7 linked regions of the Coturnix japonica genome follow. The protein of the gene in region 7 binds, or shares a complex with, the protein of the main gene of each other region. Links are inferred from orthologs where the notes say so. Each region holds a gene or a part of one and is shown on either strand. Other genes may lie near its edges. The genes, in order: TAF1D, TBP, POLR1C, POLR2K, POLR1B, RRN3 and TAF1B.

Evidence for each region.
Region 1: TAF1B (region 7) and TAF1D share a complex: the UniProt entries of both Homo sapiens proteins name them as parts of the transcription factor SL1/TIF-IB complex. The link is inferred for Coturnix japonica from reciprocal best matches to the Homo sapiens genes TAF1B and TAF1D.
Region 2: TAF1B (region 7) and TBP share a complex: the UniProt entries of both Homo sapiens proteins name them as parts of the transcription factor SL1/TIF-IB complex. The link is inferred for Coturnix japonica from reciprocal best matches to the Homo sapiens genes TAF1B and TBP.
Region 3: TAF1B (region 7) and POLR1C share a complex: the UniProt entries of both Homo sapiens proteins name them as parts of the pol I pre-initiation complex. The link is inferred for Coturnix japonica from reciprocal best matches to the Homo sapiens genes TAF1B and POLR1C.
Region 4: TAF1B (region 7) and POLR2K share a complex: the UniProt entries of both Homo sapiens proteins name them as parts of the pol I pre-initiation complex. The link is inferred for Coturnix japonica from reciprocal best matches to the Homo sapiens genes TAF1B and POLR2K.
Region 5: TAF1B (region 7) and POLR1B share a complex: the UniProt entries of both Homo sapiens proteins name them as parts of the pol I pre-initiation complex. The link is inferred for Coturnix japonica from reciprocal best matches to the Homo sapiens genes TAF1B and POLR1B.
Region 6: TAF1B (region 7) and RRN3 share a complex: the UniProt entries of both Homo sapiens proteins name them as parts of the pol I pre-initiation complex. The link is inferred for Coturnix japonica from reciprocal best matches to the Homo sapiens genes TAF1B and RRN3.

Annotation. Positions count from the first base shown.
Region 1 is NC_029516.1:166,172,873-166,177,039, reverse strand, and holds the start of TAF1D (TATA box-binding protein-associated factor RNA polymerase I subunit D), read right to left. Parts: upstream 2,801-4,167; 5' UTR 2,691-2,800; intron 2,371-2,690; 5' UTR 2,358-2,370; coding exon 2,131-2,357; intron 2,046-2,130; coding exon 1,589-2,045; intron 1,462-1,588; coding exon 1,286-1,461; intron 868-1,285; coding exon 807-867; intron 492-806; coding exon 378-491; 3' UTR 1-377. UniProt on the Homo sapiens protein: Component of the transcription factor SL1/TIF-IB complex, which is involved in the assembly of the PIC (preinitiation complex) during RNA polymerase I-dependent transcription.
Region 2 is NC_029518.1:36,564,474-36,568,458, reverse strand, and holds the start of TBP (TATA-box-binding protein), read left to right. Parts: upstream 1-1,185; 5' UTR 1,186-1,295; intron 1,296-3,070; 5' UTR 3,071-3,259; coding exon 3,260-3,313; intron 3,314-3,985. UniProt on the Homo sapiens protein: The TFIID basal transcription factor complex plays a major role in the initiation of RNA polymerase II (Pol II)-dependent transcription.
Region 3 is NC_029518.1:27,798,784-27,803,080, forward strand, and holds the start of POLR1C (DNA-directed RNA polymerases I and III subunit RPAC1), read right to left. Parts: upstream 2,801-4,297; 5' UTR 2,758-2,800; coding exon 2,689-2,757; intron 2,616-2,688; coding exon 2,544-2,615; intron 2,448-2,543; coding exon 2,340-2,447; intron 2,249-2,339; coding exon 2,116-2,248; intron 1,556-2,115; coding exon 1,436-1,555; intron 1,221-1,435; coding exon 1,068-1,220; intron 933-1,067; coding exon 783-932; intron 257-782; coding exon 140-256; intron 1-139. Other genes in the region: protein YIPF3, read left to right, coding at 2,888-2,950, 3,021-3,227, 3,302-3,408, 3,490-3,535, 4,125-4,217. UniProt on the Homo sapiens protein: DNA-dependent RNA polymerase catalyzes the transcription of DNA into RNA using the four ribonucleoside triphosphates as substrates.
Region 4 is NC_029517.1:116,286,560-116,290,838, reverse strand, and holds POLR2K (DNA-directed RNA polymerases I, II, and III subunit RPABC4), read right to left. Parts: upstream 2,801-4,279; 5' UTR 2,781-2,800; coding exon 2,706-2,780; exon of another isoform or gene 2,675-2,705; intron 1,905-2,674; coding exon 1,841-1,904; intron 1,137-1,840; coding exon 1,044-1,136; intron 875-1,043; coding exon 852-874; 3' UTR 386-851; downstream 1-385. UniProt on the Homo sapiens protein: DNA-dependent RNA polymerase catalyzes the transcription of DNA into RNA using the four ribonucleoside triphosphates as substrates.
Region 5 is NC_029518.1:13,948,877-13,952,376, reverse strand, and holds part of POLR1B (DNA-directed RNA polymerase I subunit RPA2), read right to left. Parts: coding exon 3,358-3,500; intron 1,976-3,357; coding exon 1,804-1,975; intron 821-1,803; coding exon 649-820; intron 546-648; coding exon 264-545; intron 1-263. UniProt on the Homo sapiens protein: Catalytic core component of RNA polymerase I (Pol I), a DNA-dependent RNA polymerase which synthesizes ribosomal RNA precursors using the four ribonucleoside triphosphates as substrates.
Region 6 is NC_029529.1:37,331-40,830, forward strand, and holds part of RRN3 (RNA polymerase I-specific transcription initiation factor RRN3), read right to left. Parts: intron 3,229-3,500; coding exon 3,139-3,228; intron 2,685-3,138; coding exon 2,549-2,684; intron 1,672-2,548; coding exon 1,541-1,671; intron 536-1,540; coding exon 405-535; intron 1-404. UniProt on the Homo sapiens protein: Required for efficient transcription initiation by RNA polymerase I (Pol I). Required for the formation of the competent pre-initiation complex (PIC).
Region 7 is NC_029518.1:87,994,937-87,998,436, forward strand, and holds part of TAF1B (TATA box-binding protein-associated factor RNA polymerase I subunit B), read left to right. Parts: intron 1-1,589; coding exon 1,590-1,680; intron 1,681-2,132; coding exon 2,133-2,203; intron 2,204-3,500. UniProt on the Homo sapiens protein: Component of RNA polymerase I core factor complex that acts as a GTF2B/TFIIB-like factor and plays a key role in multiple steps during transcription initiation such as pre-initiation complex (PIC) assembly and postpolymerase recruitment events in polymerase I (Pol I) transcription.

The sequences.
Region 1 (4,167 bases), on a different chromosome or scaffold from region 7:
ATGAGCAGGACTCCACACCCACCTCACTGCATTACCCTGCCAGAACCCCACTCCTACATCTAGTCTGAGCAACCGCAACAAGTTCCCATTCATGCTACAAGATCAGCAGATAGTCCCTGTTGTGCTGAAGGGCTTCTATCTCTGCTCAGTCACCTTCGTAAGACCCCACTCTGGACTGAGGAGGGGAAGAAGGGAATAGAACTTTTCATCACACTGCTAGTTGTTTTAAAGCAGCTTGAGATTATGATATTGGATTTAGGAGAATTAGTTTATTCTACACTGCTTAATTACAAGAGCTGGAACTCTTAGTCCTGTAGCTCTGTGACCTGCTGGTTCCACAAGCCAGGCTGCGGAAGGTGCTATTTCAGCAGGATCACTTAGCAGCAGCATTCTTCTTCAATCACTCCAGCTGACTTTGCTCGCTTTGTTTTGGCCTTTGATTTCTTCTTCTTGTTGGGAATTTTGCTGCTTATAATGAAACAGCTTTTGTCCTGAGAACAAAAAAAAACAGCATTCTCAAGTCTGGTTTGGAGACACTTGAAGTACCAATTTATTACTAACTTCCTTTAGGAAGTTTTATGGACGCTTCAGAGAACTGCCCAATTTCCGCACATCCCAACATAATTCCAAAGAGCTCAGACTTCTCTCAAACCAATTTCCTCTTGTACTACACACCAAAACCACACAAACTGGTTAATTCCAGATCCAAGCTCAAGAATTAAGTACTCAAAGCATCATCTGTTACTTATTTAACACCTCAAAAGAGAAAACAGGTTATAGTTTTCAAATTATGGATGTTTACTCACCACTACTCTGACATCAAAGTCTTCTGGATTATCAGAGCCCAAGCAGTTATCATCGTCATTGCTGAAAGGCAGGAAATTCAAATCAAATCTGTACTTCTACAGTAGCGCAGCATAAACAAGCTGTTCTCCTAATGCAGCACCACTTCCTCATAATGCATATGGAAACGCTACAGCTTACAGGTCTGGGATGCTCCCACTTCTACATGAGGCTACACTGAGAGCCTGTGGAACAAGATCCTTATCTAAAGCCATGAGCTGTTACTTATTTTCTCTCTCTGCTCTTTTAAGGATGAGGAGAGAGCACACAACACAGCAGTGCTAAGCCAACAGAATCCATTACTGAGTTACAGAAAAATCCAAGAGGTATTTCACCAATTAATATAATGCACGTGCCAGACAATAAAGACAGCAATGCTGAACACACAGACTTTAAGTTGAGAACAAAACAGCAACTTTTATACTACTGAAAATGAACTTACTTTGTCTCCTGGATAGGAGAAATGGGGCCTTTGTCATCTAAATATTTATGTTTCCGCGCTGTCAGACATTCCCTTTCTAAGTCTTCATTTGCTTCAAGGGATTTCAAAGCCTTTTTGAGGTGTTCTTCAGCTTTAAGCATTTCAACATACTGGAAATATCCCTTCGCAGCTGCTTGCTGCAAAAAAAAGGAATAGATCTTAAATACAAACAAAGAAATGAACCATTTATATAATCAACCAGACTGTAACATTAAATGACAGCCTTAGGTCAGCTGGTTCTCTCCCACAAAACACAGGGCTCACCTCATAGCTAAGAACCATATTTACGGGAATATGTTTCCTCCCATAATGTTTTTCAACAAAAGGGAACTGAAAGCCTGGATCCCGAAGCCTTCTCCTTCGCTCCTGAGGCGGGGCTGTCATGGGCCGATTCCCACCACGCTTCTTTGGGGGTTCCGAGCGTCTCTTTGTCTTCCGTGAAACACCGCTCCTGTATCTTCGGTGCGCAGCAGTTTTAAACTTCCTTCCTCTGAAGTGATAGGCAAAAATGGCTTTCAAATCGAGCTTGGATTTCCTCCTTTGGGAGGGTTCAGGTGGCCTCACCGGGCTCTCAGGGAGCAAAGAGTCAGGACTTTCACCATCAGACACTCGTGCATCAGCTCCTGCTTGTTTCCTTGAAGGCTGCGATCTCCTCTTTTGCTCCGCAGAGGGAGCAGTGCATTTCCTAGAGCGTTTGCTGCCCCGAGCAGCTGAAACATCACTGAAAAAGAAACGTGTACATTCAACAGAGCACATACGTTTATGAGTCTTGTTCGTAAGTGATTCTAAGGAACCAGGTAACTCACATTTCTGAATCGCTGCTATCCACCTCAGATGAAGATGTATTTGTACTACTAGTCTCATCTGAAGACTCCTCAGGAGTGGCGTCCTTCTGCCTCGAGCACAAACGTCTCTTCCTTGCATTCACTGCACGCTCAGGTATTTTAGATCTTTTTCGCCTCTGAGTGGATACGAGACTCTGAGCATCAGGATCATCAGAACAAGAGGTGTGGGATTCATCTGTATCACTCATGTTTTAATCTGCCCTGAAAGAAATTAAATATGTTTTACCCCAGGCAAAGCTTTTCACATCCAAGGAACGTATGTGTCTCCCTCACAGTAGCCCCCTCCCGCCCACCATCCCGGGGCGGACATTTTGCGCGGTTCCCGCCGCTCTACCACAGCCCCGGGCCGCCATGAGGAGCCCATTTCCCACATCCCACCCGCCCCAGGGCCTTCCTTGCGCTCCGTCTAGGAATCGCTCAGCGACAGGATGTGCTTTGATTCTACCCCAGCCTCACAGCGGGTCCTCACACGGCGGATGGCAGCGGATTCAGCGCACCGCCATCACCAACCCAACACTCACCTCACGCTTCACCTCCGGAAAGGGCGCGCAATGGCCGCCCCCGAGCTTAAATAGCGCTCGGCTCTCGCGAGAGCAGGACGGGGCGGGGAGTGCCGTGAGGGGGGCGGGGATGGGCGGCCGCAGGTTGTGGGCATTGGCTGCGGTTCCCGCTCGCTGTGGGTCTCCAGAGGGTGGCTCCTGCAGGTTTGGCTCCGGGACTCTTTTTAGACTCTTTTTACCCTCGTTTACGTGGCCTGAATTTCCCTTCTCGCTTCTCTGCTGAGTTCATCTGCACGTTGGCGCTGTCCCTGTTGGCTCTGTGGCTCTGGCTGTGCTTCCTTCTCCCCCCAGCCCCCCGCTATGAAGCGTTTCTATCCAGCCATTAACTTCTCCTTTCCGTTTTCTGCCCTTTCCTGCTTGGAAAAGAAAAGCCGCAGTGTCTCGACGTGTCGGTTGTTTCCTGCCATCCCGTTTGCAGCGTTCCTGTGACAGCTTCCTTCACAGAAGGGAGAATCGCCCATAGAAGCGGACGAGCCCCCAGCTAAGATGGAAATCACTCTACATAGACAGCTTGCTTTCTTGCTCTATTGCTTGTTACAGGCAGAACTTGAGGTAGCTGAACTTTGAGCTCAAAGTCTCGCTTTTTCTTCCATGAAAGGTTCCTATTTTGTTACGTGCAGCAGGCGTGTGCCTAAGGAGTTAATGATTTCTGGGGCTGGTTTATAGGTAGCATGTAACCAGCTGCTTGTGCCTGGAGCTGCTGGTTTGCCCTCGTAGCAGGTTATGCTGTTGCATGACTGAAATATAGCTCGTTTCAAAAGAAGCTCCAACATTTCTGTTCTGAACAAAGCTTGCTGTGAAAGGCTCTGAGCTGATATAGAGTCCAGTGCTGTACAACTTGCTGCTGCTTTGGTGCCTTTGTTTGGCTTTGAGATGCACTACAACCTTCTTCCACTTTGGAAACACGTGCCTATAAGAAACTGGGAGCCAAGGTTGAAAGTCCATCATAGCCAATGCTGGAAAAGTAAACATTAAGGTAGTGAAGACCGGGTAAGGCAGTTATTGTGCTTAGAAAAGCGTGGCTTTGGGTTTACAAAGGACAGATAACTGACCTGTCCCTTGAATTAGGTTCAGCGTATTACATATTTTGTCTGTACTGAGATGGAAGTTTGAGGACTAACAGATGTAATGCTCTGAAGCAGCTGCAGAGCTGGTAGGCACACCTGCTTCCAAAGCACATAGAATCATAAAATCACCAAGGTTAGAAAAGACCTGAAAGATTATTCAGTACAACCATCCACATATTACTAATAGCTGCCACTAAACCACTAATAGCTGCCACTAAACCATGAGAAAACACTAATCTTGAAGCTGTCAGTTTTTCCCTCAATGGTATAATAACAATTCTACTGTTATCTATGTATTCTCGGGTGAATTTGACAGATAAATTGCATATTGAAAGCAGTGTGTTTTTAATTACTAAACCATTATCTTTGTT
Region 2 (3,985 bases), about 51 Mb from region 7:
CTACACCTAATTGTACTAAAGCAATCTTCCACTGGACAGTAACAGAGAATCAAAGATACTACACAGAGTTACAGGCTCATTCTTCCATTTCAGTCCTTACAAGGTGCAGACTTACAGTTTGTAGCATTTGGGGCTGTCCCGGCTGTGAATTGCATAACCTTCACTCAGCCGTGTGTCGGAGGCAAACAATGCTGAAAGTCTTCCCCAGCGATCGCCAGCACAGTCCTTAAAGAAGAGCATTCATATAATTCACACAATTGGCACAACTTAGTTCTTAGGCAAGCGATGAACAGCCAGAAGAATAACAGAATGACCCGGGTTGGAAGGGACCTCAAGGATCATGTAGTTCCAACCCCCCTGCCTGGCAGGGCCACCAAACATACACATTTACTACATCAGAGTTGCCCAGGCCCGTCCCAACCGGGTCTTTGGAACACCTCCAAGGACGGGGCATCCACAACCTCCCTGGGCAGCCTGTTCCAGGGCCTAACCACTCTCCTAGTGAAGACAGAAGGCAAAACGACAACGAGCAAGACGCAGCCCAGCTCACCTCCCCCCGGCCCATCCCTGCCCGCGGCTCTCACCCGCCGTTGAAGGTGTATGGCGAGAAGCGGTACTGCACAGGTCCGCCCAGCCCATATCCCGGCTCCGGCCTCAGCTCGGCGTATCGCGCTGCGGACAGCATCCCTACGGCACCAGCCCTGCTGTCTCACGGCAAAATGGCGGCACCGGAAGCGAGGAGGCGGCGCTCTACGAGGCACAGGCACCTCGTCTCGTCTGCTCTGGAGGTACCACGCCCCATCGGCGGTGACCACCCGGCCGCATGGAGCCGTGCCAGCCTTCGGGCGGCAGGGCCGGCAAGCACAGCAGGCTCTCGCCATGAGCACACCAGCACACCGTGTGCCCCGGTGGTGCAGTAGTAGCAATGCCGCTTTGCAACACCGCAGGCCCTGGGTTCGAATCCCCCCTGTGGCGCGTGTGGTAGAAGTGCCGCTCTGCTACACAGAGGCTCGAATCCCGGGGGTTGGACTCGATGATCTCTAAGGTCCCTTCCAACCCGCACCACACTGTGACACTGTGAGCACGGCACCACACGCTGTGCCACGAGGTGCGAGTAAAGCCAACACCCCGCAGACAACAGCCCGCAGGCCCCGCCCTCACTCAAGATGGCGGTAAGAGGGGCGGGGCGGATTCGTGGCGGAAGTGACGCAATCGAGGCGCGCCGGCGGCGCGGTCTCGGGGCGCAGCCTGTGTCCCGCAGTTGCGGTGCTGGTTGTGGCGGCGCCGCGCGGCAGGTACCGGCCGTTCCGTGTCCCGCTCCGCCCCGCAGCCCACACGGCGCGGGCTGTGCCGCTTATGGCGGGGGGGGTGGCCGGGCCGAGCCCGCTTCTTACTCCCCGTGGGCGCCGCCGTAGGGTCGGGGTCCTGCGGGCGGGCCCGAGCGGCGGGGAGGGGGGGAGGGAGAGAAGGGATGTGCGGGGTGAGCGGGCCGCGGGCCGAGCGGAGCGACGGGAGCGATCCCGGTACGGCCGTTGGTGCCGGGGGCGTGATGGCGGCGGGACGCGGTCACCGCCTCCCACACGTGACGGCGGGCGGGGAACGCGGCGGCGGCGGCGGCCTTGGGTTCGGTACGGGAGCCGTGATCGGCCCTTGCCCTGCACGTGGGCCTGGTACCGGGGCTCGGCGGCTGGGTTCGGTGTATGTGGAGTCCGCGCGGCGTGTTGGGCCTGAGGATGGGCTGCCCGTGATGCTGGGTAACGGCTGGGCCCCTTCTTTGCACGGTGTGCAACGTGGAAACGCCTTTGGGTAAAACAGCGGGTGGTTAATGTGATACTGAGTGCCTTAAGGACGAGAGAAAGATGGGCAGGCTTTCTTCAAATGTTTCAGTGCTGTGCCTTAAAATGGCTTAGGAGCTCTCTGTGTAAGTGTGCAGTTAAGCTATAAATGAATAGGAAAAATATCTGATAAAAAGGCTTAGCATTTCATAATATAGCTATGCAGAGAAGGAGCTGGGTGTTTGCAGACAGCAGGTTGGCCATGAGTGTGCCCCGGTGGCCCAGAGGGCCAATGGGATCCTGGGGTGCATCAAAAAGAGCATGGCCGGCAGGTTGAGGGAGGTGATCTCCCCCTCTGCCCTGCCCTGCTGAGGCTCCATCTGGAGCACTGCGTCCAGTTCTGGGCTCCCCAGTTCAAGGCAGAACAAGGAGTAGTGGACACAAACTGCAGCATGGGAAGCTCCGTACAAATAGAGGAAGACAGAGCTGCCCAGAGAGGCTGTGGAGTCCCCTTCACAGTAGGTACTCAAAACTTACCCAGCCACTCTCCTGCTGTAGGGATCCTGCTTTAGCAGAGGATTGGGCTCAGTGATCTCTGGAGGTCACTTCCAGCCCTTACAGCGCCATGAAAGCATTTCAGTTCTCTATTTGTATTGTTTCTTTCCATTGCGTGCCAATAGAGGTACAGGTCTTTGTTTAAAAGGCAAAAAACAAACAGTAAGTGAAACAACACCCAGAAGAATACTTTCGTTTCATGCATATACCTGGAATTGGCTTTTAGTTTCCCTTTTTCCCCTCGTGAAGTACGTCATTGCAATTCAAAATACATTAGTGCTTTGCTTTATGGAAGTAGATGGGAGGAGGTTTCCTAAACCTGAGTTTACCAGCAGTATTTTCATATAGCAAAATCAAAAAACAACTTTGGAAGGCCAAGCCTTAACTCTGCCCAGGGGGAGATGTGTGAGCGAAGCGTGGCTTTAGGCTCGTCTGTCAGTAGCTGGTGGAATTCAGTTCTGAAAGTCAATGCTTTCCCATCTGAAGCGATGCATGCAGGACTGGAGCTGTGTGTGAAGGAGGCCTTCGTTGTGGAGGCGGCTGCTCACGTGCAGTGGATGTTCACCAGGGGCACTAGGGCTGTAGAAAGAGATTGCTTTATATAAGGTGCATGGGTGTGTGCGTGCGTATGAGTGTTCTCGCATATATTTGTATGTGGGCATTTCTTATCTAACAGACCAGCTGATAAGCCTGCTTTTGTTTAAATGTTATTCTCAAGATATTACTTCTTTTCTTTTCAGGCCCTGTTTAGTGTTTTAGACTCGCAACGTGTTTTCTCTGGAGCTGATGTTTTCCTGACACGTTTTCAGCTTGGCTAAAAAGCTGCTTTGCTGGAATGCTTTAGAGGGTCAAAAACCCTTTTTGGTTTTAAATTAATTTCAATTAATTGAAGGAAATATTTCTGGCCTCACCAAAGAATAACCGGAATCATGGATCAGAACAACAGCTTGCCACCCTACGCTCAAGGCTTAGCCTCCCCTCAGGTAAAAAGGGATGATGTGATATGCAAAAGCGGTCTGAATTTCTTTGTGGGAGTGTTTTCTGTGTCTTGTATGTTATTTCTTTGTGTCTTTTTTTGTTTGTGTGTTTGCAGATCTGAAAAATTCTACTGTATATAACTTACTCAGTAAAAAGCAGAGATGAAAAACCATTTATATATAGATAGATAGATAGATATGGGTATATATAGATATATATCCAGAGGTTTAAGAAATACACTGATATATTTATGGTTTTCATGAAGCTGAAACATTACTGGCATGTTGAAAATAAGAAGGTTCAGGGGAGACCTCATTGCAGCCTTCCAGCACTTGAAGGGAACTTGCAAGCAGGAGGAGGGGGGCTGACTTTTTAACATGGTCTAATAGCAGTAGGACAACGGGGAATGGCTTTAAACTAAAAGAGGGAAATTTAGGTTAGATGTTAGGAGGAAATTCTTTATTCAGAGAGTGGTCAGGCACAGAGAAGCCTGTGAAGCTTCTCTTGGCCAGAGAAGCTGTGGATGCCCCATCCCTGGAGGCATTCAAGGCCAGGTTGGATGGGGCCCTGAGCTGGTGGGTGGCAGCCCTGCCTATGGCAGAGGGTGGGACTGGATGGACTTTCCCTTCCAACTCAAGTCATTGTATCATTTTAACTTTGTTCATTGCTTTTGGAAT
Region 3 (4,297 bases), about 60 Mb from region 7:
ATACAAACATAGGAAGAATAACGATGCCAAGTAGAAGGGAAAGACTGAGACCAAGGTATGCACACTGGCCAGCCCCTGCTTGTTTGTACAAAGCAGAATCGGGCTGGGCACTCTGCTCTGCACAAAACAGGCTACTTACAGATGTAATGATTTCGCACCCTGGCCAGGCGCACCAGGTTTTTCAGACCCTCGTGTCGGAAGACTTCCCTGCTGAACGTGTCCAACCGTGCGTTGGCTACTCTTGCCACCTTCTTTCCTAAAAGGAGAAGACAAAACAAGGTGGGCACCGGCAGCAGATGAGCACCTTGGGGTCACAAAAAGTACTTACCCCTCAAGCAGCAGAGGCAGCAAAGCCACATATAATTAGCACATCCCTAACATGAAACTCCAGCTTGGCAGAATTCATTTCCTCGAACAGTTCTAAGCCAAACACAAAGCCTGTATGTGCTCCTGGGCAGGACACAAGTCCTCCCCGTGCTCAGCTGTTACAAAGAGCAAGCTCGCTACCCAGACACCTAACAGTAGCACAGGGCTCTACAGACAGGCATGCAACACATAAGCATTTCAGGGAGATCTCAGTTCACTGCTAAAAACATTTGTGTGTGACAGCCACTCAGCCACTACAACCAGGCTCAAAACAGCACCAACTGTTGTTGATCAGCAAGACAACATCGCAATGTGTTATTTTCCCAACAAGGTTTGACTACAATCTCTACTGTCTCTATTCAGTCACTGCTAAGACTTGTTAGGAACGAGGCACTTTACAGCTGGAAAGAAAGTACCCTTGACGTTCTGGATCTCAATGACTCCAGGGGAAAAGCACTTCTGTAACGTCTCGGCTGCCTCATCCTCGATAGGCTGCAGGAGAGTGATGTCAGGAAGCAGTCGATAACTAGCTGTGGCCACAGGAGAAAACTTGGCATGATCTTTACCTGCACAAAGAGTTCAGAATTAAGGATGAGGACAGGCCTTGGGGTCAAGCTAGTTCTCCAGTGTTTCCCATCACACAGCTGTGCTCGAGTCCAAGCACCAGCACACCCACTCCCCAGCTCAGACCCAGCACTCACCTACACCCTTGACGCAGTGCATGAGCACATCTATTTCCTGCCCAGGTCTCAACAGTGCTATAAGGATGTCGTCGTGGACAGGTCGGAAGTCAGCATCCGGAAAGAGGTCTGTCTGATTCCCCAAGGGAACCCATGTCATGTGCTTACTGTACACTGCCAAAAGAAACCACGAGCATCAGCCAGCTGCTGCCTCAGAAAACAGGTTGCTGACCTGAATAGGAGATGGCACAAGCAAGCTATGTATACTGTGAGGAAATGAGCTGTCTCTGCTCACAAGGCAAAACACCAAGAGAGAGAAAGAAGAAAATGAACAAGAGAAAAAGCAGAAAGCTGCACCTACTTTTAGGGCAGGCACAAGGAGCTCTCACCTTTGTGATTGAAATACAGCTCGTTTGGGTCAGACGATTCCTTGGCTGCCTGAGGATTCCGGCTGCATTTTATTTTCAGCTGGAACTGCAGAGTATCAATTTCCGTCCCCTCTTCATCTCCTGGAAATGGCAAAACAGTATCTTTATGGAAGTGAATTCTGCTTTGTTGAAGTGTATCCAGGGGAGGGACACATGAATGACCCAGTGATGGAACATCTCTCCTACGAGGATGGGTTGAGAGCTGGGGCTGCTCAGCCTAGAGAAGAGAAAGCTGCAGGGAGACCTGGAAGCGGCCTTTCTGCACCTAGGAAGAGCATGCAAGAAAGAAAGGGACAGACTCTACAGCAGGGTCTGCTGTGATAGGAGAAGGGGAAACGGTTTGAGGCTTAAAGAGGGTAGATTTACTTTAGAGATAAAGAAAAAGTCTATTACTGAGTGAGAGTGGTGAAAATGAGGGTGGTGAGGCACTGGAACAGGCTGCCCAGAGATGCGGCTGATGCCCTGTCCTTGCAGACTTACAAGGCCAGGCTGGGCAGGACTCTGAGCACCTGGTCAGATGTAGGAGTCCCTGTATGTTGTGGGATCGTTGGACCTGATGGCCTTCATGATCCTACGGTGTGACCCCAGCTCCTGGTTATGGGCTCCACCCTCCCCACCGCTGTTCGACCCGAGCCCCTCACCTTGATTCCTGTACTCAAAGAGCCGCGGGTCGGCCCGGATGGGGATAAGGCCCAGTCGGTGCGCCAGGATCTCGTCCTGCACGATGGACGTGTTGTTGTACACAAACACCTTTTCCACAGCCATGGTCGGCACCTCGGGGGGACGACAGAGCGAGGCGATAAGCCGCCAAGCAGGGCACCGCACGGGGACCATCCACTCGTCATGTCTCCCAGCCCCGCGGTACCTCAGCGAGCAGGATGCGGCGGAACGCGTTGGCGATGGCCGCGTCGATGCCCACCATGTCGAACTCGAGCACGCCGTCCTCCTCCCGCACCACGTCCACGCGGAACCCCTGCTCGGGAACCGCGCCGCGTCACGACGGAGCCGAACAAGGGGCCCCGCAGCAGCAGCTCCATCAGCTCCATCATCTCCATCAGCTCCCACTCACCTCCTCGAAGCGCCGCTGGTCCCACGCGTCGTCGTACCCGGGGTAGTTGCCTGGGAAGTCAGTGGTGTGGACCTGCGGGGGGCGCAGCCCGTGAGGCAGCGGGGGGTGATGCGGGAGCCGCCCCGCGTCCCGCCGCCCCACGCACGTTGCGGACGCCGAACTCGCCCAGCACCACGCGCTCCCGCATCTCGTCCGTGCCGCGCCGGGCCGCCATCGCCGACGGAAGGACGCGCCGCCGCCCCGCCCCGCCGCACGTAAGGCGGCCATGCGGAACTGACGGCTCTCGCGAGACACGGAGCGGCCGGACCGTCACATCCGCGTTGCCGTCCCCCGTTACCGGCGCTATGGCCGCGGCGGGCGGCAGGAGCGGCACCGCCGAGTGGGGCGGCTTTGAGGACAACGTGCAGGTGGGGCCGGCCCGCGGGGGGGGGGACAGAGGGGCCCGAGCGGGCGCTGACGATCCGTGCATCGGAGCAGGGCGGCGGCTCGGCCGTCATCGACATGGAGAACATGGACGACACGTCGGGCTCCAGCTTCGAGGACATGGGGGAGATGCACCAGCGCATGAAGGAGGAGGAGGACGAGGAGGCGGAGGGCGAGGCGGGGGCCGGCGGGGAAGAGGACGGCGAGTTCCTGGGCATGAAGGGGCTGCAGGGGCAGCTGGGCCGGCAGGTGGCCGACCAGGTGAGTGGGCTCACGAGCCGCCAACAGCCCCGCCGGCCCCGGCCCCGCCGCTGCACGTACCGTTCTGTCCGCAGATGTGGCAGGTGGGGAAGCGACAGGCGTCCAAAGCGTTCAGCCTCTACGCCAACATCGACATCCTGCGGCCATACTTCGACGTGGAGCCCGTCCAAGTGCGCACCAGGTGGGCAGGGCAGCGGGTGCACGGGATCTGTTGCTTCTTAATGACTGTCCTGATGTCGTTCCCCGCTGTGCCGTAATGCAGGTTGCTGGAGTCCATGGTGCCCGTCAAGATGATCAGTTTCCCACAGGTGAGTTCTCTCTCACTGAACCAGACCCCACAGCCTGAGTGACTGTTCCACAGAGACCCCTCAGATGTAATTAGCCTGTTATTAAGGATCCAAGTCTGTTAGATGTTCACCTCCCTCAAAGTATCAGTAAACCCTTTCCTATGGTTGTTCCAAACCCCATTCTCATAGAATTGTAATCATAGAACATCCTGAGTTGGAAGGGACTCATAAGGCTCACCTGGCTCCATACAGCACCACCCATAAATCAGACCATATAGCTGAGATCATTGTCCGGATGCTTCTTCAACTCCAGCCAGCTCACTGCTGTGACCGCTGCCCTGCACAGCCTGTGCCAGCGCTGCCTTTACCTTCCTGCTACCCTTAACGCTGGTACAGTTGTAGAACTCTAGACCTCACTTTGCCCATTTCTGCATCCTGTTGAACACCACTCTGACTCATCACAGTCTGTTCTGTGTGGCTTCTGTCAGCAGTGGCCTTGCAGATGCTCCTCGGGTGATAAAAGTCTCCAAGATGCTCGTTATGTCTCTCAGGGTGGAGAGCCTGGAAGACAGGAGCACTAACTAAGCCTCATCTCTCTCTTTACATGTAGAAGATTGCAGGTGAGCTTTACGGACCCCTCATGCTGGTCTTCACGCTGGTGGCCATCCTGTTGCATGGGATGAAGACCTCGGACACTATCATTGTATGGCGAGTCTCAGTGATTCATTTGTGCTTTGACCGGGTTTGGGATTGCTATAATGACACTGGAAAGGGAGAGGAAAC
Region 4 (4,279 bases), on a different chromosome or scaffold from region 7:
GTATCATACTGTACAGATAACAGTGAAATGACATGTTTGTCTTTCAACAGCCTCATCAGCACTGGAAACAAAATTTGGATTTGCAAGCATTTAATCAGGCTAAATTAGCACCACACACAAAGCAGCAGTGTTTTTTAAGACAAATTGGCGCTATGGGTATTTTAGTATTAAATATTCTGAATATAAATGTTCTGAACAGGAAAATGGATGCAAAAAGTTTGGGCTTATCAGTACAAAACGGCAACCACTTCTTAATACAGACTCATGAGAAATCATCCGAAAAGCAAAATGACGTTATTTCAGTTTTACCTTATCCAAGGTTTCTTTATACTGTAGACCTACTTATTTTAGTGAGTACAAGCAAGGTCACAAAACAGCCTGAGAATCTCTATTTACACATTTATTTTTATCCTGATTTGGGTCCTGTCGAGTTCAAATCCAAATTTCAGACCTGATTTTGCGTGACTTTCAATATGTCTTCACTGGGATTTATTCAAACCAAGATTATCTTATGCAGTTCACAGGAGTCCAAAAAACACTGAAGAGCTGAAACACAGGTAAGGCTTAGGTGTGAGCTGTGAAAACAAGGTTAACACTTAACTCAAAAATGAATATAATACCAATGAATTTAACAGAATGCTGCACATTCTGACTAAAGTTTAAGGAAGAAACCCATTTCTAAAAGTAGTATAGACAGAATTGAGATGGTATGGCAAGTAGTATCACAGTGAAGTTTAATATTTTAATATCTTAAACCACTAAACTATGCATTTATACACCAATGGATTTACAGAGCAAAGTTGCCAGAAATATTAAACTGAAGTATAAAATTGATGTATCTTCAGGTCAAATCACCGGGCATCAAAAACCACCACTGGAATTGTGCAGTTAAAGAAAAATGCGTTGCAGTTCAAGGAAAGATCAGGGGAGGAAAGGGGTCAAGGAGAACAAAAAGAGGGAATGCATAAATCTGAAGTCAATTTTCTTACACAGCTTGCCCCACAGCTTCCCAAATGCATTCGACTGCCTTTGTAAAAGGATACATCTTTTTGTTCTTTTCTTGTACATTATTCTGTACCCACACTCTCGGCATCTGATCGGATCTCTTGCCTTTATTTCATTTTCTGTATGACATTCTGATATGATGGAGAAGGAGAATAGCAATGAGTGAACAAAAGCAGCATATCTAAAGCACAGATAGCTTTCAGATGTAACAATGGTCTAATTCCTTTTACTAGCAAACAAAGCATAACAGAAAATAATTGCAGTGAATTTTAATAAGTAACTGAATTATATTAAGATACTGTTAAGGAAAAAAAAAAAAAAAAGAATTGGCAAACTTAGATTGCTAAAAAGTATCCAAACATTACTGTACCATTCCACACTCCACTAATGAAACCTTCCTCTCAGCCCCTCCGAGCCACCAAGTTTATTTTCTTAAGCCTAAATTTTTCTGAGGCTTTTAAAGTGGTTACTCAAAAGCTCCAATTTTCACTTTATTAACTTATGTTTAGGTAGAGAAAATCTGACAACTGTGCATTAGTGAAAGTTGAATGACAACACTATTTCCAAAAAAACTTTGTCTCCAAGATGCAATATATAAAAGTTCTGCTATCATCCTCTAGAGATGCAGGACCCCCACACAGCAACAGAGGTTCTAGTGAACGACTTCCACATCAATAACCACAAGTAATCCATGCATATGGGAGCATCAGTGCATAAAGCTTAATGCATCATCAGGATCCACAACCCAGTTATGTAGATTTCTGTACTCTGTGGCACTATGACTGCACATTCCTCATTATTAGAGCATTGAATACCACTAATGTCTTTTCTTTACCTCCACAAATGTAAATCATTGGCTGCTGCTTTGGGGGCTGAACGTCCTTCTGTGAATCCATGTTCTAAGCAAAAACAACAAATAAAATACATGTTTTTTGTTGTTGTCTTACACAAATATTTCAATATCTCCATCTAAAGTTGACAGAAATTGAAAAAGTTCTTTTAAAATAAATACAAAAATATTCAAGCTCTGTTTAATATATGCTACATAAGATGATACACATTGGAAAGGACTTCTGTTTGTCCTGGCACGCTAACCTTTTGCCTTCAGGTTCACCAACATTCCTTCACAATATCAGACAACTACTCCACAAACAATTCATTTTTTAGCAACCCCCACCTAACATGTAGGTATTACTGCAGACCTACGTTTTAAGGTTGTGACCATACAGAGAAAGAAAGCATTTTTTCTCCCCTTCTTGATAATACCAGGACAAGGGGAAATGGATTTAAGCTGAAAGAGGGTAGACTTAGGTTGGATATTAGGGGGAAGATCTTCACTAGGAGACCAGTGAGGTCCTAGAACAGGCTGCCCATGGAGGTTGTGGATGCCCCATCCTTGGAGGTGTTCAAGGCCAGGTTGGACGGGGCCCTGGGCAACCTGATCTAGTAAATGTGTATGTTTGGTGGCCCTGCCAGGCAGGGGGGTTGGAACTACATGATCCTTGAGGTCCCTTCCAACCCAGCTCATTCTATGAGCCTATGATTCAATGATCCCCCCCCAGCCCGCCTCGGTTCAGCGCCAGCCACGCCTCCTCCCCACTGACCCCCAGGGGCTTGGTCGACCCTTTCCCCACTCCCCCCTCACCCCGAATCTACCACCACCACCAACCCGGCAGGGATAAGCCGAAAGCGGCACCAACCTCCACACTCCTCGCCGTCCCCTCGGCGCCGAATGATGGCGTCACTACGCAAAGCCGGAGGGGGCGGGTCTGCATCGCCGTCCTTAAGGCGCTGTGTCGGGTTTACAGCGGATAGCGGCTGATGGAGCCTTGGGGGAGTGAGAGTTGGAAGCGCTAGTGAGCTGAGCCTGGCGCTGGTAACTAAATCTCGGTACCCTGCGGTCTGTGCCATGTATTCCCGCATTGAAACAAACTGGCAAGCCGCGGTGCTGTCAGTCACCGGCTCAGCCCTACAGCTGGGCGAGTGCTGGGTGCCCCTTAGGCGTCCCTGTGTGAGTAATGGCACGTCCTCAGGTACGTAAGAACGTATAACAAATACTGCTCTGTAGATAACATCTCCCTGATGTGAGGAAATGCGTCTTTCCGAACGCCGAATAACAACCGTCTCCTGGGGAAAGCTAGAAGTAATAACAACGTGCTAAGGATTTCTAGGCGGCTCATCGGCTTTGTCTTGCTGCTGTGCGAAAATAAAGTTAAGTGTAACTTCTTAGTGCCGGAATAAAACACATGTAAGAATAACGGGACGTGCACGGCAGTGATGTTCGCTGCCCCGGGTCCTCCGAGGTGGGAGCTGCTGCCGGGAGCAAAAATCAACCAACCAAAACGGAACGATCCCTTCCTCCGGTGATGGACACAAAGTAATTAACACCTCACAAGTAACTAATCACTGAAATTAAAGTAAAGCCGATAATCTTTCCCCGCACTCGTTTTGTATTTTAAAACGGGTTTGACGAAATGATTAAAGCATCGAGGTGATGCTTTAAAACCTACTTACTAATTATACCCCATGAGAAAAAAATATATATCGATTGTCCCGAGAAAATCATTCATTATCTTGATTATATCCATCATTTAACTGCTCCCCGGTGGGATGGAGTCTTTTTAAACGTCCATTACTTCTGTGCCTCACGCCGCCTCCCTCGGGGTATAGCCCCGTTCCGACGGGCTGATAAACGCCGGTCCTGAAGAGAAATTCTTCCGACTGGCGTGAAACTGCTACAGAAAGCACTTTGGGAAACCCTGGATTCCATTTCTAAACTCTTTAATTCGCATTCTAAAATGGAACGAGGAACCAGCGCAAAAACCCTAATGTTTTTACCCGTTACAGTTACCCTCCGGTCGCACTACCCGTACACCGAGACGCCCCGTTTCCCCGCTCTGGGGGGGATGGAGCCCGCCCTGCTCAGCCTTAGTTACCACGGAGAACCTCCATCTTTCTGCCCTGGGTGGAGGCGTTACATTCGGAGTTACTCCCAACGATTTAAAGCATGTTTTATCTCACAGTGTTTCTGGTGGAGCCGTAAGCGTAAACCATGAAAGAAAAAACAGAAGTTCTGTATGATTATCTAGCTCCTGAGCTGTCGGGTACAAATAAGCTAATTAAAATGAATTAATCAGCACCCTTACATCTCAGATTTTAAGCTCTTGGTGCAGACAACGTTCCACCTGTGAGGGCTCGGGCTACCCGCTGAAGGTGCCTCCCGCCCGACTCTGAGAAGCTGTGAGCAGCGGGAACGCCTCAGCCCGGCTCCTGA
Region 5 (3,500 bases), about 74 Mb from region 7:
CAGAAAAAATTCAGAACATCTGGACAGGGCAAAGTGGTAGAGGAGACTGGATGGAAAACATAAAATGTGCACAAGTGAGAATGCCATTTCCCATCCAGCCCCAGCACTCTTCTGGATGAAACAAAACTCCCATCACTGTGCTAATCACTGGAGGAGCTGCAGTTTAATTCAAGTTACTAGAACATTTTCCACATATGGGTTTGTAGGGCAGAAAGGTAAAAATGAAGACTGCTTCATTAGATAACTGAGCAAGTAAACTGTACCTAGAGCACATAACATAGGTGGAAGGTCTGTCACAGGAACCATCTCTGTCACTATTTCACACACAGCTGTCATGTGGTTCATCAGACCGCAGGGCTCTCCATCTGGGGTGTCCACAGGGCACAGGAACCCCCAGGACTCCGGCAGCAGTTTGCGCACCGTGGTAGTTCTCATCTGGGCAAACACTGACCCTCTGTGAACGCAGCGGAAGTGCGAAAGGTAGCGAACAAAATTCAGCTTGTCCCCCACCACACACAGACCGCTGTCCTGCAGCATGCCAAGGCCTGAGGAACAAAACAGAGGTTTACATCAGGATGTTGCTCAGTTTTATGTTGTTTCTCATGCTGTTTAGGTAAAAAAAAGGGCTTCTTATACCTTAAGACTTACCAGTCTTAGATCGCAGGTTACCAGTTGCAAGAAGATACTCAAATGACTTGGTAACATCTGTGGTCAGACCGAACGCCTTCATCAAGCTGTCTGCATTGATGGTGATGTTGGCCTTTTCTGTTTTCTTCTCCAAAACGAATTTAACAGACTGCAACCAGTTCTCAAGCCTCTCCTGTGGTTTAAGAATGTGAGACTTGAATTAAATACAGGAACACAGACACTTTAATGAGTGGCTCAGTTATCTACGCAACAGAAAGCCAGTCTATTTAGAGTCTTTGCATTTACAGGAGAGGTTGCTCACTCCTCTGCTTATCTGACAGGGCCAGACAGGACAGCAATCCCTTCTGCTTCCTGGTACCAGATTGGGAAAGTGCTACAATGCTTCACATAATTCATTTTTTATTCTCTTTTTACAGCCATTGAAACCACTCATGTAGTAGACAAGTTTTAGAATTGTTTCAACAAAGCGATGCTAAAGATTTTGGCTAACATGGCAAAGAAAGATTACAAGTTATCTGGTAACTCAGGGAAGCTTTATTACTTGGGGTTGACAAATTTCACTTCTGAGCATTACTTTCTTTTTGGCATTCTACAATGAAGAAATGCCAGAAATAACTTGAATCCAAAGTGAACTGGAATAGTTTAGGAAGCTGCACTTTTACACCACCAGTAATAAATTAACAGTGTAAATTGGAAGTATACTCCTAACTTCCTGATCTGTAAAAGAACTCAAAGACGGGGTAGAAATGACAATATAAATCACTGATTTTCAAAGAAAGAGGATGGGACAGTTATTTACTTGCACATCTGCTGTGTGACACAGCAGGAGCACCACAAAGAGGCTGATCTTTATTACTAATCTATCAACTGACACAACAGCAATATGCTGTTTCAAAACCCTCCGAGCTGGTGTTCCTCCTTCGCCAGACTCCAAGCCTGAGCTTTCATTTCTGTTGAAGGTCCCAAAGCTTTTCACTCCATGTTTTACTCAGGCCCCTATTTAGTGCGGTTCGTGCTGTGCTGCATTAGATTCAAGTCTTTATAGTATACCAAGGCTCCCTGCTCTTCAGTTTGGCTCTGTATTTCTCCCATCTCCTTGGCCACTGCAGGTCCTAGATTGGATGACCCCTCCATACACAGGCCTTATGACCTTACCTTTAAGAACATAAGGAAAAGCTGTCCTGCAGTAAGCACTTCTTGATTCATTAGACTGTCTGGATTGTCCTCCATGCACTCCCCTTTGGCAAAAGCATACAGTTTCCTGGTCATCATACAAAGCAGGTAGAATTTTTCAGTTCTGTCTGTCAGATGTATGCAGATACACTTGCTGGAGGGAGAGAAAGAAGGACAATTAACACCAGCTCGTCACGCCAGCAGTTCTTCATGTTTGCTAAATAATATCAAAATCTTTTTCCCCCTGTTGCTAGAAAGATACAGCCAGTTGATCACATGAAGGTGAGCCTCATGGAAAAAATGTATATCATATACTACTACACATCCTTACAAGTATACAGTTCACATACACAGGCCCACTTAAGAGATAAGATTTGTACATTATTTTGCAGCAGGTATGACACCAAACACCACTACATAACCATATACATGTGCCCAACTCCACCCCAAAATCCAAGCTGGAGACTAGTAACAGATCACAGAACACTGCAATCAAATCCCTGTGTGGAAACGTGTGCTGAATGACATTTTAATGCAAGCAGTAAAGCTGCTAAACTGCCTTCCAAGACAACAGAAATAACCTGCTTTCCAAGATGTAAGCACAACAACCTTCCAGAATATGAGCACACAGGATCTGGTCACTCTGTACCTCTGCTCCATAGCGCCCTCTTCTGAAGTCTGTACAACTTCACCATAAAAACAAACATTCAAAGAAAGTTCTGGCCAGGTAGAAGTTACAATGCAAAGTACACCCCAATTGATGCTTTCCACAATTGCTCTTATCTCCACAGCGCAGACAGCTTTGACAAACATTGCGTACAGAACATACCACGGGACAATAAGACACCACCAAAAAGCACGAGAGTATTTAGACTGAAGAAAATTACAGTATGACTTTCTTGAAATTATCCGCTGTTTCTCAGTACAAAGAGCTGTTCTTCCAACAATTCTAAGTGCTTCTCTGAGGCACTGAAAAATTGCCTCAGTGCTTTTAGACACCTGATGATTACTCCTTATTTCCAGGTACTCAAGGACTTGGGCATCTCAAATGATACTTTTCAAAACACTTTACTAAAACACTTGGTCAAAGAACTAAAATCTGTATTACCCGAAAAAGAAAGTTAGTTGAATGCTTGTCACGCTGGCAATCTCAAACCCCTCTCTTCCATTTCTTCCTAACTTATTCCATTGAAAAAGGGAGACTTTAAAACATCCAATTCCTATCATTTAAGTGTAATTCGCGTAATAGTTGCTAATGACTGCGTGAAACAGCAGATAAAACGCCACAAATTACCCTAATGGTTCAACCTATTGAAACTAAAGCTGTCCACACAACTTCCCCTTCTTTCAACTTGAACAGAATAGATTATCACAGTATCCTGAAGTTCCACCAAGAACTGGCCACCCGCTGCTATTTTATTAGCATGTACAAAAACCGTAATGAGAGTGTGAAATAATATGGCAGAGTATTCCTAAAGTTGCTTGAATTTCAATGCAATAGCACAAGCACACACTCCTAAACATGTACATACGTACTTGAAAATGAAATCCGCAGCCTGCTCATTGCTGTACCACTCGGGAAGGTTGAGTTTTACTCTGAAGCTCTTTCCAAGGTAATCGAGGACGTTTTGTTGCGTGTAACAATGTGCTTCAGCTACTGCTCTAAGCATCTCAGTAAC
Region 6 (3,500 bases), on a different chromosome or scaffold from region 7:
TATATATTGTTTATATATATTATATATATAAATATATAAAAATATAAATATATATAAATAATATAAATTATATATATACCATATATATATAAGCACTGTCCAACATGTAATTACAACATCAAATTAAAGTTCACCATTAAAATCACTGAGTGCACACCTTTAACAGCATAAAAATATAGAATGTATGAATACAAAATAGAAAGATTCTCATCTATTTGCTGAAATATTTTCAGTATGCACAAAAATAGTTAAACACTTGACTTTCCCCGTCTCAGAATCCATATAAAATACTTTAAAAGAGCATTAAAAATACATATATTTCTGAATATCAGATATACTGAGTATCCATAACTCAGCCTAAAGTCAACAAAACCTATCCATGCTCTCATATCAAAAGAACTTACACAACTGGAATAAATTTAGCTCTTGCTAAGAAGCTGCCAATGTAACTCCCAGCAGTTTGCCTTATCACCGAAGGATTATTTGGATCCTGCAGTTTTTTCCAGAGATGGTCTAAAAATGCCTCAGCCAATCCCTGGAATACACAGAAAACATGAGTAGTTATAGTAATAACAATAGATTGCTAATATTCAGTTCCAACAACTTGCTTAGTCAAACCATAGAAGTCTATAAAAACATTAACAAGTTTAAACAGGAAGTAACTATTAACCACCCCTGGAGCAGTAGAGATAGGATCCAATGAAAACAGCAGTAAGTTGAACTTTGAGAAATACATAAAGCGGTTCTTTATCATAAATAGTCATATTCCAAGACTTGTTGGCATACAAAGTACACAAATACCAAAAAATTATATCACTAAATAAATTTAAAAAGTGATGAGATACCTTCCCCTTGAATTTGTCTATCCTGCAATGCTCCTGCAAAGGAACGTCGCTTTTGTTCAGGAAGTTACTGAACTATTGTTAGAGACCGAGACGCTATTCTGACAAAGCACTATAATATGCTTGCTATATTCAAGTATTCTTTACAATACATCTGCTATCCACTGTCAGAGGTAAAAGATAATGCTAAGTGGATCTTCAGCTAATCTTATGCCAAAAGTACAGGTGTTTTTCTTTCAGAATGGTAAAGAGAAAAAATTGTCTGTTGCCTAAGAGATGGAAAAATGGAGGGAACAATCAGTAAATACAAATTCCAAATTGAAGAGCTAAACACAGTTTTTGGATGCTGATCAAATTTGCAAGATTACTATGCCTCAGGTTTAAAAGTCCAACTGACTCGTGTAAAAGACTTCTATTACTACATTCCTTCACAATGGGCTGGTTTTGAGCTGCTTGCCATTTATGAACAGCATGGGGAAGGTTGAAAATATAACAAATATAATAATAATAAAATATAACAGGAGTTTGAAAAAAGGAGTAACAGAAAGCAAGGAGAAAAAGGATACTAATAAATCCTGATATACAAACTTCAGAGAAAACATACTGTAGACCTATAGGGAAAAAAAGCAACTCACTCTTGAAGAAAATATAAAGTATAGACTTAAAGACACTTCATTTTAACAACACTTTGTACTCACCAATTTTAAGCTACAGATGTAAAATATGAAATATTGTACATGACAAGAAGCATGGGTTGGTAAAATGAGCTTGTCAAAAACAGAAACAAGATCCCGATACAAATCTTTTGTCTTGTTGATATCAAGCTTGCCTACACAACAACAAACAGAAAACAAAAATGAGTCACGTCAGTTTCATTCCTGCCCTCATGTTGTGAAAAAGGCATTTTATCTTCCTGAATCAGGAAGAAACAAGCAAAGCTACTGTCAAGCTAACTTGTAAGCTTACAAAGCGCCTAAAATAAAATGCTTGTAGTGAGACCTTCCAGAACTTCAATTATTCCTCATATACTTCTTTTTACATTAGATTATATCTGTGAATGTAAGCATGTGCAATACTGACAGGCTGCAAACGTGCTTCTTCAGAAGAGGCAAAAGAAAATACTAAAAAATAAAATTGCCTCACTAATGTGATAAAACAATTTTCTAAACATTCTGTTTTAAATAAGTCTAATATTCAGCCCCTTAATAAATGCTAGTGTAAGATTTGTGTTCCTAATAGATACATAAATAAAATCAGGTTTTTCCTTTAATACAAGTCCTTTACCACTTCCAACTGAGTGAAAAGCCTGGTTCGTCTAATCTACTACTTATGTTTACGATATTCAAAGGATCCACAATTCTAATACTTAAAACAGCAAAGCAAACAATAAAATACTGTGGTTAATTAGAAAGTTTTTCTGACCCCCCTAAGAAGTTTAATAGCACAGTGAAAAAAGAAAACTATTTATTCTTACTCCCAACACATTACACTTTGGGTACAGTGCCATATTTATGCAGTCAAAATGTCTCCAACTAAAGATCAGGCTGTTAATGACACCTTCAGCTTCAGTCAAAGCCCAGAAGGCACTAATAGCAGAACTCTACAACTAAAGGATGAAGACTCACTTTCTGCTGCTGCAATAGAGAATTCTTCGTATGTTTTTCCTATTTGTTAGAAAAACAAATTTATTGTTCCTGTATTCTTACCATCCACGTGGCAAACATCTTTAATATAGGCAAACAGGATGGTCATCAAAATATCCAGTCGCTCTGCAAGTGGATGGGCCATTCTCTCATTACTGGGAGAGACAACTTCGTTTTTTTTTCTTTCATCATCTTCCTCCTGGTAGGTAAGATAGTGCATATGAAGGGTGCGTAACCACTATGCCATAACTTAATTATAATTATATAGAGAAAAATGAAACAAAGTATCTATGTTCATGGTGAAGTTTTTGTTGCTGTTTTTTAAAGCAACACCAGTACAGCTCAGTCTAAGCAACATTTTTGTAAACTAAGTCAATTACAACTAATTCTTTAATAAGCTTTATATACAGCTGCCTGAGTTTTTTTCATAAGGAAACTGATCTACCATACATATTCTGGATATTTATATGATTAATTTTGGCATGGGGAGAATACATTAATCATTTGTCAGCTACTCAGGCTTGAAAATCTGTTTCATTTTTCCTGTTTACAGATCAGCTACAACAAAGCAATAATGTATTATTACAGTTAAGTTTCAGAGGATTTCAAAGGTGAAAATTCCACTAAAAAACTTAGCAAACAAAATAAACAACCATGTCAAAAAGTCCCTCCTCTGTAGACTTTTCCTCACTGTTATTGGCAGCTTCTTCAGCATCTTCAATATCTTGCTGGGGAGTACTAACCTACAAACAAGAAATTAAGTTTTATAAGACCATAACAGCAATATGAAACATTCCTGTTCAGTATCACAGAGTGGTTTGGGTTGGAAGGGAACTTTAATATCAACTAGTTCCAAGCCCCTTGCTATAGGCAGGGACACCTCCTCTAGACCAGCTTGCTAAAAGCCCCCTCCAGCTTCTCTCCCATCCCACAAGGAGGACAGTGGGTGCAAGCAAACTGCTGTGTGGTGCTTAGCCTGCCACGTTAAACCACAACAGCCCTATTCTGATGATCG
Region 7 (3,500 bases):
CACTTGACCAAGCTTAGTGTGCTCAGATGAATAATAGCTGATACTGCACTGTAACGATCCAGCATATCTGGCATATTGTACTTGCAATACAGCCATCCTCTCTCTAGTCTTTTTCTTTTGCTGTATAAAATATTTCAGCTCCTACATCTCAAGACAGCCTGGAAGCAGTTGTAGCTGTAGCTTCCTTGCGTGTGTCTGTGAGTGTATGTTCTGCAGACTGCACATGTACACAATGCTGTTTATGCTCAAATAAAATGTGATTGAGGTATGTGTATATGTGTGAGTGCATCACAGAGCTGTGCATTTGCCAGTTGACTCAGCCGTGTCGATGCAGGACTAGCAGTACCAGCCACGTGGACGGTTAGTGTCATGTCCCTGACAGTGGGCTTCCTTGTGACAGATGTTGGAATAATTTGTATTAAGTTAAATACAAAAATTATTTTCTTCCCACAGGCCAACCTCCCAGCACCCTCTGTGCAGAGGAGTTCGAAACAGAACTTTATCCATGTCATTGCATTTTAATAACTGACGGGTCTTTCTTCCCCTTGTTTGTCCATTTCAGGCCAGCTGTAGTTCTTGTTTGTAAGGCCTCTTGTGGCAGGATAACTTGAGTAGCAAAAGCATAGAAGACATACAGAACTTTGCTTATAAGAACAGTATATTCACCTTCAGAACAGTTTGCCAGCTAGCTCTTTAGAAGTGAGCATGATGCAAGCATCCTTGCAGAGCAGCTGGGGTGATGGGGAAATGCAAAGCCTGGTTAATTCATGATGCAGATAATACACCCACGGATAATAAGAGTTGGTTATTTAAATTTACCCTGCACCATAGTTCTGTTCACAGTTCTTATACTTATTGTACCCTGTTGATCTACTTCAATCCTGTGCCTCTCTGGAGTATCAGTGGTAAACATGCTGCTGGAATGACTTATGCCTTAACGTTTTTGCATGCACTGCTATGTATTTGTTCACATATCAATGAGTGAGAATCCAGTGTATGTGGGACGCTGGTACTCAGTGAATACAATTGTCTGGATTATCCTTCTTGCCTTGCAACATCTCATGGGCAGCAGGATGGATGGTGTGGGGTTGGGGGTTGGACTCGATGATCTCTAGAGGTCCCTTCCAACCCCTACAATTCTGTGATTCTGTGACACTGCTTCACCTCCTACATCTGAGCTTCAGAATTTGTTTAGAACTAAGCTTCTACAGTTTCATGAATTCCTTGAAGTCAGATTTCAAGCAGAGGAAGAAGACCAGTTAGTGTTGTGGAGATCTAGTTCTGGTAGCAATTACACTTAACTTTCAGAAAGGAGGGAGAAGGATTAACTTGTCTAAAACTAGGAAACATATTCTGAGCAGAGGTGTTTCTTCCCACCTCTTATGCTGTTCCTTTCTAGTATTTCTGCTTTTCATTTTCTCTGTCTTACAGAAATGTTGGGTTAAGTGTGTTTTCTATAAGCAGATGGAATTAAAGATTTGCCTACAGACGGGAGATGCAGAGTCCAACTGCATGGTGACCACATTCTATGTATCACATTTCTTTCACTCCTTCACAACCTAAAACTAAATTACGAATGTTTTATTCAGGTGGCCCTTATTTCGAGTTCAAAAAGTGGTACAAGGTTATAAAATGTACCTTGGATGTGGAGCAAAAAAAACTGGATGAAGAAAAGGCCAAGTAAGAGATTTTTAAGTACTGGATAATGATAATAGCAATATTAAGGTAGATGATTGTAAGTGAAATCCTGACCCCCCACAGGAGCTGAAAAAGTTTGGACTTTGCTCCAATGTTCCCATCCTGCACATTTAGGTGAACAGTGATTCCATCCGTGTCTCAATTTTCTGTTTACAATAATGATATTTATCCAGCATGTTGATTAAACACTGTCTGTGACAAGTAGCTTATATAATTGAACAATTAACTGATCACAGTGAATCTAGGCTTACATTCCTCCATTTATCTATGCAGAAAAAGGCTGCTGTATGTTTTGGAGGAGGTGTCTTTTAATGGTGTTAACAACAGATTATTTTGTTTTTATTTTAATAGCTGTATCTAATTAAGAAATTACGATTTGACTTGCTTTTTCTAGTTTTCTTTTTCCTAACAGTTTTTATTTCTCTTACTTGTAGGTATCTGTGGAAATGTGAAAAGCCCCTGTTTTATTCACTCAAGAAGAAATCTAAAATCCTTAGGAAAAGACGTGAGTAAACTCCACCTCTTTCCGCCAGCACAGAAGTCTGCCCCAACTTTTCCCATCATAGAAATTCTGACTGTAATAATATTTACATCTTAAAATACTTTCCCTTCAGTCTTTCATCTCTGGGCACAATGAATGTTGTACTGTTTTACAACCCGTGGCTGGAATTCTTCAATCAGACGTTTTCCTACTGCTTAACTGAAACTGCAGCCTTCACAGTGATCTACTTAATGTAGTCTCAGAGTTAGTACTTTGTCCTCATCTCACTCATCTGTCAGCTGCCTTCGTATTACTGTGCTCTTCATAATTTTTTGTTGATCTTCCATGGCTTTTCAGCTCCTCTCTCTTTCCACGTATATATCACGTTTGTCCTTGGGTAGACCCTCCTGTCCCTCTTTTCTCCTAGTTACTCTTGCAGTCTTCTACAGAAGGTGAGAAGGATTTCTCTGAGTGTGGTTTTGCTTGAACAGCTGGTTGTTCATGGTCAGAATGAAGATCCCTTCCTTTTAATATATATGGAAGTATAAATTAATTACTTGGTTTGGAAGGGACCTTAAAGATCATCTAGTCCGAGCTCCCTGCCATAGGCAGGGCTGCCACACTTCAGATCAGGAACCCAGTGACTGGGTTTTACTATTCCATTTAAAACAAACAAAAAATCCACCAAACAGAAACAAACAAACAAAACCAACAGAGACTGCACTCATCCTTGTAAATAGGAAAACAGGAATTTTATTAAACTAAATAAAACCTGAGGTTCTTCATTCTACTTTTGATAGTAGTAAGCAACAGGTAGTGGGAGAGAGGTGTTAATGTGGCAAGTGATGTTTTTCTCCTTAGATACTCTTCCCGTTTCTGGAAGCGACTGATCCAGGAACTTTTAAGCTCGTTATTATACTCCTGTTTAGTTTGAATAATTCATGTTAGACTTACTGTGCAAGAATGCATTGGGTTTTTAGTAATGTTTTTATCCTTCAAAATTCTGTAGTGGTGATGTCGCAGTTAAGTCACATTCTGGGTAAAAACAGATTTGTTTATTTCATTCTGAAATGGTTTCCTCAGGAGCAATTTAGTTCCCTTGTCAATAGGAAAAATGAAAAACCATTTGTTGTTCATTAATTCCATGCCACTTTATATTCTCCGTCTGGATCTTGTTCTCTTTGAGATAGGAAAGAACCAACGGGATCATTGAGTTATTGCAGCCAGGAATCTCACATCATATCATTTCAACAAGGCAAGATTCATCTTAAGTTTTAAATAGTAGAGACAAGGAATGCCTATACAAAGAGTCCCCTAGAAC